3 linked regions of the Oryctolagus cuniculus genome follow. The protein of the gene in region 1 interacts with the protein of each later gene in a biochemical or structural test. Links are inferred from orthologs where the notes say so. Each region holds a gene or a part of one and is shown on either strand. Other genes may lie near its edges. The genes, in order: LRP1, APOE and DAB1.

Region 1 (3,716 bases):
GTGGACACAAACAGCAGTTCCCAAGGAGCCCAGGGCCGTCCTGGATGACAGTCTAAGCCTGCGACTGCTTCCCCGTGCACCCGCACTGGCCCCTGGTGCTGAGCTCGACTGCCCGGAGCTGGGGTGGGGAGCCCGTCTCCCTACACAGCCCAGCACACCCAGGCTTGACCAGGGAAGCAAGCCTGTGCAAGTTGCTGAGATCCTAAGGGGCCAGCGTGGAACCCCAGCTTGTGTCTGCAGCCGGAGCTGTGAGTGTTGGGCTCCAGACTTTGGCCTGACTCTGGGCATCCCTGGAGGAATGGGGGAGGGGATGACAAGGGAGGAGGGGGGTTGGGCAACAGCGACTCCAAATAAGGAGACTTTTATGTAGCTGACAGCGGGCTCAGCGCAGCTGGACTGCCACTTTTGTGGGACAGTGCGGCAGGTGGGATTCGGATGTGGGGCAGGGGAGGGCTGTGAGAGTCTGTGGCGGCCCCCCCGGCCCCCGGGCACTCACTCTCCACGATGGTGGTCCTCCCCGAGCCATCGTCATTGATCTGCTGGATGTTCCCAAAGTGGATGTCACTGAAGAAGATGCGATTGGGGGTGCCCGGGGAGGTGCCCGCCCGGTAGTCGAAGGCCAGGGCGATGACATTCTTCATGTGCTCGGGGTCCTCGAAGGGTTGCACAGGTGCATTGAGGTTGCGCTCGTCCGACAGGTGGATGCTCTTGAGGATAGTGCGCTCCGAGTAGAGCAGGTAGCCGGCGTACTCCCGGCAGGACGCGCCGTCTTCCGCCAGCATCCCGTGGGCGCAGGCGCAGGCTCGCTGGCCCCCACCCCGGTACAGGCAAAGCTGCTGGCACCCGCCATTGGCCACGGCGCACACGTTGGTGCCTGGGGGGAGGGGGAGGTCACAGGGGGCAGGGTCTGCCTGGGGGAGGGGCTCTCTGGTGCTCCTGTCACCTGGACCCTGACCTTGGCGCCTGCTCTGCCTCAGCATCCCCAGCTCAGTCAACCCTCCAGGCCCTCATCCCTCAACTCCCAGATCAGCCCTTGTCGCCAGCCTCTCCCCTCCCCCCATTCCTGGTCTCTCAGGCCTTTGGAGGGCACCCCTCCAGGCTCCACCTTCTCTCCCAGCCCCTGTCGCTCTGGCCCTGGCCCAGAGCGCCAGCCTCACACCTTTCTGCCGGTCGCGGTTGAAGACCTTGATGTCTTTGAGCTGGACGCCGATGCCGGTTCGCAGGGGCACGGAGTCGGTGGCGTTGTCCTTGCTCCCGCGCTTGATGGAGCCGTTGGCGTGAGTCCTGGGGGCAGGGAGAGGCGTGAGCGGGGCGCGCGCAGGGCAGGGACGGGGTGAGGACGGCACACGGAAGAGCAGCCCTCACCGGTCACTCCAATAGATGAAGTCCTCAAACACAGACACGGAAAACATGTCCATGTTGTTGCTGGACAGGACCACCTCGCGGCTGTCGCCCGTCTCCAGGTCGATGCGCTCGATCTTGTCGGTGCGGGCGTCGCACCAGTACAGCTTCCCATCCTGCGGGCACAGATGCCACCTCACTCCGGGACCCCCACCCCCTGCTCTCCCCACTCACCCCTGCCCGTCCCCCGGGTCCCTCTGCTCTGCACGTCGCCTCTGGGGTAGAGGAGTCCTGCTCTGGGTGGGAGCTGGGCCCCTGCCCTCTGCTCTCTCACTGGCCGGGGCTCTCCCCACCGGCTCCATGGTCACGCCCAAACCTGATAGTCCACGGAGATGCCGTTGGGCCAGCTGATGCTGACGTTAACCAGCACCACCCGCTCGGTGCCATCCAGTCGCGAGCGCTCGATGCGCGGATACTGGCCCCACTCAGTCCAGAACAGGTACCTGTGTGTGGAGACGAAGGGGACGGGCGTGAGAACCCAGATCACAAAAGTGCCAGGGCTGGCCCCGAGCCAGCCCGTCCAGCTGCTCACCCCTTCTCCGGGTGCACAGTGATGGCCCGGGGCTTGTCCAGACCCTGGGAGATGACCACGTAGCGGAAAGAGCCATTGAGCCGGGCCACCTCGATGACGTCAAAGCCCTGGTCTGTCCAGTAGATGTTGCCTGCGGAGGGAGTGGGGTGCAGGGAGGTTGGTGGGGGGCACGCACACAGCCCCAGGGACCCCTGCAGCTGTCCATCTGTCCCTGCCGACTTCCTCTCCCATCCCCTCTGAGGCGCCCCAGCACCCACCTGCGATCCAGTCCACTGCGATGCCCTCCACACGGCCAATGCCGTTGGTCACCACGTCCTCTCGCCAGGTCTGGTCGCGCTTGGCCCGGCTGATGGTGCTCAGGCCCATGTCCACCCAGTAAATGGTGTCGTTCTCTGCAAGTGGAGGTGCCCACGTGAGGATACCCGGTGTGGCGGGGGCAAGACCAGGGGCCAGAATCATGCAGCAGGTGTCAGGTGCTGGGGGCCAGTGCAGGTCCCCAAGCTCCTGGGTCACGTCCCGCCATCCCCCGTCACCCAATGTCTCACCAGCATGGAAGTCGATGCCAACAGCCAGCGAGGTCCCTGACACAGGGACCAGGGCGTCTGACTTGTCATTGGGATCCAAGGGGATTCCCCGAATTCCCTCATGCACGGAGTACAGGAGAAAGGAGCCCACGCCTGAAAGGCAATGACCCCTCAGGCACGGGCCTCGCGACGCTCCTTGAAGCCTGGCTCTTGCTACCTTCACACCGCTCTTCTCTGCTTCCTCTTTGGTATCTTCCCCCCAGCCATCGCCCCTGACCCAAAGGTGTCTGAGACCCAGAGCCTGGCGCTGCTGAAGAAAGTCCTCCTGGCTAGAGGGCGAGTGCCTGCAGGACCTCTCACGGACATGAGGGGGCAGCAGAGACGCGGCTTTCTCTCCCCTCACTTGGCCCTTACAACACAAGGCGGGCGGCTCCCCACAGAGGCCCTGGGGGAGGCTCAGACAATCAGGATGGGACGTCTCCAATCTAGATTTTCAGCTTGGCACTCCGCCTGACCTTAGCTTCCTCTTTGTCCTCCCTCTGACTGGTCCAGGCCACACCCTCTCTCCAACACCCAGAAACCTTCCCAGCACCTTGCTTGCTGCCAGCCCTCCATTCCCCGCGTAGCCCTAGCCCTCCCTTGCCTTTATCCTCTCATGCAGGTTGGCCCCAAATGAACGCCCAAAGGGGCCCCAGTGAGGGAAAAACCCGAATGCTACAGGCCGTGCTTGCATATTTACTCCTAACGTTGCTTACTAGAAGTGCTTATTTCTAATAGTCTAATGTTCCTGATATTTGAATGCTGGAGTCCGTGCCTGAAGAATTCTTGGTGTGCACGGACACATTCAAGGCTCTGAGAAGTTCTGCGAAGTTCCGCAGCCTCAACGTTGCCTCCCTGCCGTGCCCACATCAAAGGCGGAGGTTCCCAGGGGCCCATAAATCAGTCAACAGGGGCTCGTGAAACGCCTCTGACTCTCAGCCCAGACCCTGCTGCTCACCCTGGGATTACCCCAAAGCCTCCTAACTGGTCTAACTGCCTTGGTTTCTCCTGCTCCCCTGCTGCCGCCAGCTTAATCTTCCCCAAACACCACTTCCAGGCACCACCAGCTGAGAACCCGCAGGAGCCCCGCCCTCCCGACCTCACCGCCTTATCACCAGGACTTTCCCACACCCAGCCCAGCGCTCTGGGCTCAGGGCCCTACGCACAGTCTCCAGCACTGGGCTGGGGCACGGCTTTAGCTTCCCCTTTGTGTGGGCCTA
Region 2 (3,600 bases), on another chromosome or scaffold:
GAACTGGGCCCCCGGCCTCCGCAGATTTCCAGAAGAGGCGGGTCTGGAATTTTGGAGCCTCAAGCAGAGCTACTGGGACTGCTGCATCTGGGGCTGGAGCGACACAGTCCCGGTGCAGGGGTGCGGCCCCGCTCGCCTCGCAGGAGGCGCTGTCAGCACTTGGCCAACCCGCGCCCCGAGGCCTGGCGAGGAGGCTGCTGGGTGATGTCCCCGAGTTACCTGGGGAGGCCGCCTCCCCTGCGCCTTGAGAAACAGGGCCGACTGCCAGTGCCTGCTGCGGCTTTGCCCCCAACCCAGCCCTGGGCCTTGAGTCCCTGGGACAGCTGGGGGCAGGAGCCCATGGGAAGGTGACTGCTGGAGCGCGCTAGGCTGCCCAGGTGTGGGCCCACCGTGTGCAGGGCGCTGGCCTCGGCACGCGCCGTTCACTCCTGCATCACCAAACCTGCGGGGCGCATGCCGCTGCTTGCCTGGTTGTGCAGGCAAAGAACTGGCCGTTCAGAGAGGGGAGGTCATTTGTCCAAGGTCACACAGCTGGCAGCGCGCAGTGCCAGGATGCAAGCCCCAACAGTCCTGCAAACTGCAAGGAAGAGGACGTGTGGGTGACTCCTGGCGGGCGGGCCCACCACCTCTGCCAGCCAGGTGCTGCGATCTCAGTAAACAAGGGGGGGGGTCCCAGAGGCTCGCACCTGCACCGCCTGGGAGGGAATTGGAACAGAAACCCTGACCGTGGGACGCTGGCCTTCATCACGCTGCCCCCAGCCCTGCCTGGGCTCCTGCTGTGCCCTAACTTAAGCCGGGAGTCCAGACTCCACTCCGACTTCATTCAGGCCCTGGGGGGTGGGGGTCCTAAGCCCCATCCATTCCCAGAACCCAGAAGTTCCAGCCGGGCACAGGGAAGGCGTGCTGGAGCAGCAGCCGGCCCAGTCCCCGCCTGCACCCCAGTGGAGAGGACGTGGGACACCGAGGGAGGCGCCCCTCCCTTCCTAGGGGCTGGGGGCGGGGGTCACGGGGCCTCCAAGCCCCACCTCCTTCCTCGCCCTGCTGTGTGCGAGGGGGGAGAACAGCCCACCTCGTGACTGGGGGCTGGCCCAGCCCGCCCTGGCCCCGGGGAGGGGCGGGGCAGGGGGAGCCCTATAATTGGACCCGTCAGGGATCCCTGCCGCCCTGCTCTGCCCCAGCCGAGGTGCAGGCGAGGTTCCGCAGGAGGCGGTGAGCAGCACAGCGGGGGGCTGAGGGGCCTCCAGGGAAAGGGGGGGTCCAAGGGCAAGGGAGCGACTTGGGGACGGGCTGTGGGAGAGAACGTGGTGGCCTGTGCCTGCGTCGGGACAGAAGGACGGCCGAGCAGGGCTGAGGCTGGAAGCAGGGCTTGGACCTCAGGCAGGGACATCCCATCCTGGCTGGGGCTGGGGTGGGGCAGCAGCTGGAGCCACAGCGAGCCCTGGGGCGGTTGCTGCCACTTATTTGTCCTTCCCGGCACCCCATCTCCGCAACTGGGGTCTCGGGAAACAGGGACTACGTCCCAAGACCGACTTGTTAAAAACCGTGGTTCAATCAGCTCCTACATGGCAAGTAGGGCTTAGACGTGAGGTTGGAGCTTAGAATGTGACGGCGGGACGAGGAATGCGACATGGAACTCAAGAAGCCCAGCCTGGAGCCAGAAAGCTCGGGGGTGGGGGGGCTGGGGGAGTGGAATTCGACCCCTGGGAGAGGGAGATGGAATTCTGGCCCCGGAGCCGGCCGGAGGATGGGGAGACTGGAGCAGACAATGCGGGAGCTGTGCAGCCCCCCAGGGGCGGCTTGGTGAAATGATTGTGATCGGACTAAGGCTGTCACAGACAGGGGCCAGGGCGAGGCTTGGGGATCCTGGGCCCGGGCGCAGCCGGAGCTGGGCTCCGGGGCGGGGGGGAGGGGACCGTCCTCCTCCGCTGTTGATTGACAGTTTCTTCCTCCCAAGACTGACCAACCGCAGGCGGGAAGATGAAGGTGTGGTGGGCTGTGTTGGCGGCGGCGATCCTGGCAGGTATGGGGGCGGGGCTTTCTCGGGTTCCCCTGCTGCGCGGCCCCTGCCCGCACTCCAGCCCCCTGTCCTGGGGAGGAGGCGCGCCGAGCTGAGACCTCTGAGGCCTGCTGCGGTTCTGAGCCGCTGTTTCTCCCCCGGGCCTCGGCTTTCCCCACCCATAAAATGGGCGTTGAAGTTCCTAATGCACACAAGGCCCATCAGTGTTTGCCGACTGAGCGGAGACCCCACCCGCTTCTGCCCCCGCGGCCCGAACCCCGCACGGCCCCTGACCACTTTGCTCCCGCACAGGATGCCGGGCCGAGACGGAGCAGGAGGTGGAGGTGCCGGAGCAGGCCAGGTGGAAGGCCGGCCAGCCCTGGGAGCTGGCCCTGGGCCGCTTCTGGGATTACCTGCGCTGGGTACAGTCGCTGTCTGATCAGGTGCAGGAGGAGCTGCTCAGCTCGCAGGTCACCCAGGAACTGACGTGAGTGTCCCCGCCCTGACCAGGAGCCTCCTGGGGGGCGGCGGGGGGCGCCTCTGCACCCTCGGCCAGTCTAGATGCCTTTGCGTCCTTGGGGTCGGGGGCCCTGCTCCTGCGTCCTCTTCCCACTCCTGACTCCGGTTTGACCTCTCCGGCTGTCTCGCACCTTCCCAAGCCCCCTCCTCCTCGCCGGCTCCTCTGGGCCTCGCTTGGTCCTTGGGGCCCCTTGGTCGCTGCCAGCGTGCACCCAGCCCTGGCTCCCCAGCTCACGCCCGCCCTCCCGCCCCCTGGGCCCCGCAGGATGCTGATGGAAGAAACCATGAAGGAGGTGAAGGCCTACAAGTCGGAGCTGGAGGAGCAGCTGAGCCCCATGGCGCAGGAGACGCGGGCGCGCGTGTCCAAGGAGCTGCAGGCTGCGCAGGCGCGCCTGGAGGCCGACATGGAGGACGTCTGCAACCGCCTGGCGCAGTACCGCGGCGAGGCGCAGGCCATGCTGGGCCAGAGCACCGAGGAGCTGCGCGCGCGCTTCTCCTCGCACCTGCGCAAGCTGCGCAAGCGGCTGCTGCGCGACGCCGAGGACCTGCAGAAGCGCATGGCGGTGTACGGCGCCGGGGCCCGCGAAGGCGCCGAGCGCGGCGTGAGCGCCATCCGCGAGCGCCTCGGGCCGCTGTTGGAGCAGGGCCGCCTGCGGGCCGCCACCGTGAGCACCCTGGCCGGCCAGCCGCTGCGGGAGCGCGCGCAGGCCTGGGGCGAGCGGCTGCGCGGGCACCTGGAGGAGGTGGGCAGCCGCGCGCGCGACCGCCTGGACGAGGTGCGCGAGCAGGTGGAGGAGGTGCGGGTGAAGGTGGAGGAGCAGGCCGCGCAGATGCGCCTGCAGGCCGAGGCCTTCCAGGCCCGCCTCAAGAGCTGGTTCGAGCCGCTGGTGGAAGACATGCAGCGCCAGTGGGCCGGGCTGGTGGAGAAGCTGCAGGCCGCCATGCCCAGCAAGGCGCCCGCGGCGGCGCCCATCGAGAACCAGTGAGCGCCTCGCGGGCCGCCCCCGCCCCGCGCGCCCCGCCTCCCCGCCCCGGTGGACGCCCCCCCTTAATAAAATTCACCACCTCCACAGCAGCTGCTGGGT
Region 3 (3,766 bases), on another chromosome or scaffold:
TAACACATAGAATGACCAAAAGCTGTGTTTGTATGCTAAGATCATTCACTGAATATTAGCCTCACTATTGCCATTATTATGACTTATACCTCATGTCTCTCCTGAGAAACAAATATGACTAGCTCTGTTGGTGAAAGCACAGAAAAGTGCCCCTGTTGCACACTGTCAAGGAGAATGTAACATTGCACAGACTTTGTGTAGGGTAATTGGACAATACCTTTCAAAATTAAACTATCCACATTCTTTACCAATAATTTCATTGCAAAGTGTAATCCTATAGATTCATACAAGTGAAAAATGGATAATTTATGGCTTTTGAATTATAGCATGTGTATATTAAATATTATAGCATATATATGTAAAATATGTTATAGCATATATGTATTATATAGCACACATACACGTACGTGTGTGTATGTGTTTGATGCTTTGCTTCTCTCCTCCTCGTAGTCTAGCGTCTGCTAGGCTTGGCATCCCTGACCATTCTCCTTTGGTTGAGCTTAGCACAGTTCATATCCGTCTCCTCGCCCTGTGCCCACCTACACACCCCACAGCCTCTTTAGAATGGTACGCTTCACTCTGAACCGCTCACGTCAAGCTCTGTTGGATGACCAACTCCATACTTCACCCTTCTTTCATTTTCTTCCAGCATTGACGGTGACTGTTTTTCACTACAGCTGTTTCCTTGGCTTCTCTGGATGAGGATTCCTGCCTTGTGACCCTGGCAGTCTCGACAAAGCATCATCCAGTTCCTGCAGTCTAGACGCTGGACCTCCCTTCCCCAGCATCATCCCCATCCAGCTTGGACACATTGAAGGAGCCGTTTTCTAGTTGTAAGTAAATCACTTGACTTTTGCATGAAAACTGTTCAATTCATTTACTGCCCAGCTTCCTCAACTTTTGAGCATGATTCTGTGTCTCTCAATAGCTATTCCCATTTCTCTTTCTTTCTGGAACTCATTGCCTGCCCCATTGTTAATACTCTGAGGTTCATTATTTGTTTAATCACCGGTTTACTCAAAGAGGTTGTAGCCAGTGGAATCTGAGAACTGAAAGGCACTTGTCTTTGTTTTCCTGCAAGGTTCCATTCAGGGTTACTTGTCTCTGACTTAGATTGGAGACTAAATGGATTAGAATAAAACCAATTTATGGGAAAAAGGAAATGTTCACAGAAACAGCAATAGAGAGTCTTGCTATCTTGGCTGCATGAGATCTGCAGGCCTCACCAAGGAATTTAAAAAGTAATGTTTCTTATCATAAGTGACAGAAATATGCTGCTTTCTGCATCAATAGATATGAAGATTAAAGGGTCTGACCGTATTAAACAATTTTGCACAGCACCAGGCACTCTGGGCAGTGCTCTCTGCCTTATTACCCTTCATCTTGTGGCTATTTCAGGCCCAATTTAAGAATACAATGCAGTCTGGCTTTGCAAATTGACATCCTTTAATTTAAACTGTCTTGTGAGAGAATTAAGAAATTATGGAACAATTATTCGCCTTTAGCTGAAAGCTGGATGACATCCTGAGATTCCTGTATGTTAGCCATTTGAATTGATTAAGTCACATAATTGAATTACACCTTTGCCCCCATAATATCTTGTGGCAAATACGTTGGTGTTTCGTGTTGGGAAAATGCTTCCGTAAAAGTAGAGTAGGGGTCAGGGTGAGAGTTTGACTGGGTGTCAAAAAATCCTCAGAGCATTGTGGGCTGACACTTGGAGATGCTGTGTGGGAGGTGGATTAGCAGAGCAAATGTTGCATTTGGAGTAGCCCTGGAAGTTGGAAGATGAAAGCTACGTAGGATACAGAATACATCCTTTCCCTGTCTCCCTTTGCATCGCCCTTGAATATTCAGCTGATGCGTCTGCCACTCATTCTTAAAGCTTTTTTTTTGGCACCCCCACCCCCACTGCATGAACAAAACAACTGGGATGTGGTTCCTTTTGTCCTGCACAATCCCCACGTCCGTCTTCATAGCGGTCTCTATCACAGTGCTCCTTAGTCTCCCTGCCCAGGCAGGATGCTGAGCTGGAAAGCATGTCCTGCTCACCCAGGACAGTAGTGACACTCGGTAAATCTGTCGAATGAGGTTCTGTGTGAAATTCTCAAGGGCTTAGCCTCTAAACTGTTTGCTTTTGTGATGTGCACATGGAGGGAAGTAGAATCTGTGAATAATTTTGAAAGCATTATTTTCAGCATTTACATTACTCCCGTTTTTAGACATTTTCACCAAGGATGTATTAAACCACAACTCTTTCCATTTAATAAACGCCTAGTATACTAAGGTTCTACGCAAAGTTCATGAAAAAATGTGTTTGATAAAAGAAACTATGCATGAATTTCAAAAAACTTTTGCATTAAAGGGCAGACATGTTTTCATTTAATTTTTTTTCATGAAGGTTTGAAGTACTCTTACATACAAGAGCTGGGTTAGGTGCTGAGGAGAAAAGTAGCTAAAACGTATTTGCTGTTCTTGAGAGAAGAGCAATCCAGTGGGACGATTGCTGAGGGCTGTGCAGGAAAGAGCCTAGGTGAGTGCAGGGGCAGCTAGGAGGCAGCGGAGTGGGGCAGGGCCCTGAGAAGGGGCCGTGTACACTCTGTCTGGGTCCTCTCTGAAGTTGGCACTGCTGGTGTCTGCCCTGCTCCCGCGACCCCTCCCACATCATCCATTCTCGGACCCAGAAGAGAAGACAACTCTTAGAGGAATGTCCTGCCATCAGGCTGCACGTGTGCTTTCCGTGGAAAAACTCTCAAGGAGACAGTGGCGAAAGTACTGCTCCTCTACACCCCTCCTGAACCCATCACACTGCAGCATTCTGGGGCTTCATGTTCTTTGTTTATTCTGTATGGCGCAAGAATCTCTCTTTCTCCCTCTCCCTCTCCTTCCCTCTCACCCTCTCGCCCTCTCTCCCTCTCTCCCTCTCTCCCTCTCCTTCCCTCTCCCTTCTCTTTTTAAAAAATCTTTCACTTTTCCTTTATCAAAGCACACTCTCAGAGCTTTAAAGCCCAACCACAGCCATCCTCCTGAATATGTCTGTGTGGAAGGGATTAATCAAGTCTGCCAAACACTGAGCTCTAAAACCTTTAATATTTCTAAAAGGTTTAAAGCAAGCGTATTTATCACATGCATCATTGAGAATGAACTTTCTTTAAAAAAAAAAATAAATGCTCCTGTAAAATATTGTGGTGATGGGCACGGTGGGTGAAAGCCCGGTGCAGGGCCCCTGTTGTGATATTGGAATGGGGGTTCTGGTGAAATCTTCCCCTGACGTCAGCCACTAGCAGCTGCCCACCATCTCCCACACATCTGTTTATATGGATATTTATATTGTGGGATTCAAGAATCTCAGTGCTCTGAGTGAAAAGCAGGAGAAAGGAATTAATTGCTGTTGAGTGCCTGTTCCGTGTCAAGTGTAAGTCTGTATGCTTGGTTCTCACATTTTAAAATCTTCAAAACAATTTTATGTCTAGCCTGGTAACTGATTCAGAGACAAAGAAGCTGAGATTGAAAAGCGAATCAGTTTTCTCAAGATCACGTAAATATTCATTTGAAAGCCTGGTGTCCCATAAGCGTATCTGATTCTCTCATTCTGTTTATAAGGCAAATGCTTAGCGCAAGGTGAATACTTTTAAAAGGTGTTCCAAAGTTGTTATGACCAATAGCCTCACAGTTTCTGGGAATTCTTATTGAAAGATTGTTATTCTACAGACAGAGATAGAAAAGATCTGTAGTGCGAGTCTGGGGATCTGAGACGTGTGTTTTA

What was found.
Region 2: the proteins of LRP1 (region 1) and APOE form a complex in vitro, tested with the Homo sapiens proteins (2 studies listed by IntAct, with this or other methods). The link is inferred for Oryctolagus cuniculus from reciprocal best matches to the Homo sapiens genes LRP1 and APOE.
Region 3: the proteins of LRP1 (region 1) and DAB1 form a complex in vitro, tested with the Homo sapiens proteins (2 studies listed by BioGRID). The link is inferred for Oryctolagus cuniculus from reciprocal best matches to the Homo sapiens genes LRP1 and DAB1.

What each region holds. Positions count from the first base shown.
Region 1 is NC_091442.1:59,825,411-59,829,126, reverse strand, and holds part of LRP1 (prolow-density lipoprotein receptor-related protein 1), read right to left. Parts: intron 2,611-3,716; coding exon 2,479-2,610; intron 2,326-2,478; coding exon 2,191-2,325; intron 2,064-2,190; coding exon 1,934-2,063; intron 1,845-1,933; coding exon 1,718-1,844; intron 1,518-1,717; coding exon 1,366-1,517; intron 1,285-1,365; coding exon 1,160-1,284; intron 875-1,159; coding exon 497-874; intron 1-496. UniProt on the Homo sapiens protein: Endocytic receptor involved in endocytosis and in phagocytosis of apoptotic cells. Required for early embryonic development. Involved in cellular lipid homeostasis.
Region 2 is NC_091449.1:11,764,264-11,767,863, reverse strand, and holds APOE (apolipoprotein E), read left to right. Parts: upstream 1-1,166; 5' UTR 1,167-1,209; intron 1,210-1,939; 5' UTR 1,940-1,977; coding exon 1,978-2,020; intron 2,021-2,308; coding exon 2,309-2,483; intron 2,484-2,780; coding exon 2,781-3,501; 3' UTR 3,502-3,590; downstream 3,591-3,600. UniProt on the Homo sapiens protein: APOE is an apolipoprotein, a protein associating with lipid particles, that mainly functions in lipoprotein-mediated lipid transport between organs via the plasma and interstitial fluids.
Region 3 is NC_091438.1:115,176,369-115,180,134, forward strand, and holds the start of DAB1 (disabled homolog 1), read left to right. Parts: upstream 1-769; 5' UTR 770-833; intron 834-3,766. UniProt on the Homo sapiens protein: Signaling adapter of the reelin-mediated signaling pathway, which regulates the migration and differentiation of postmitotic neurons during brain development.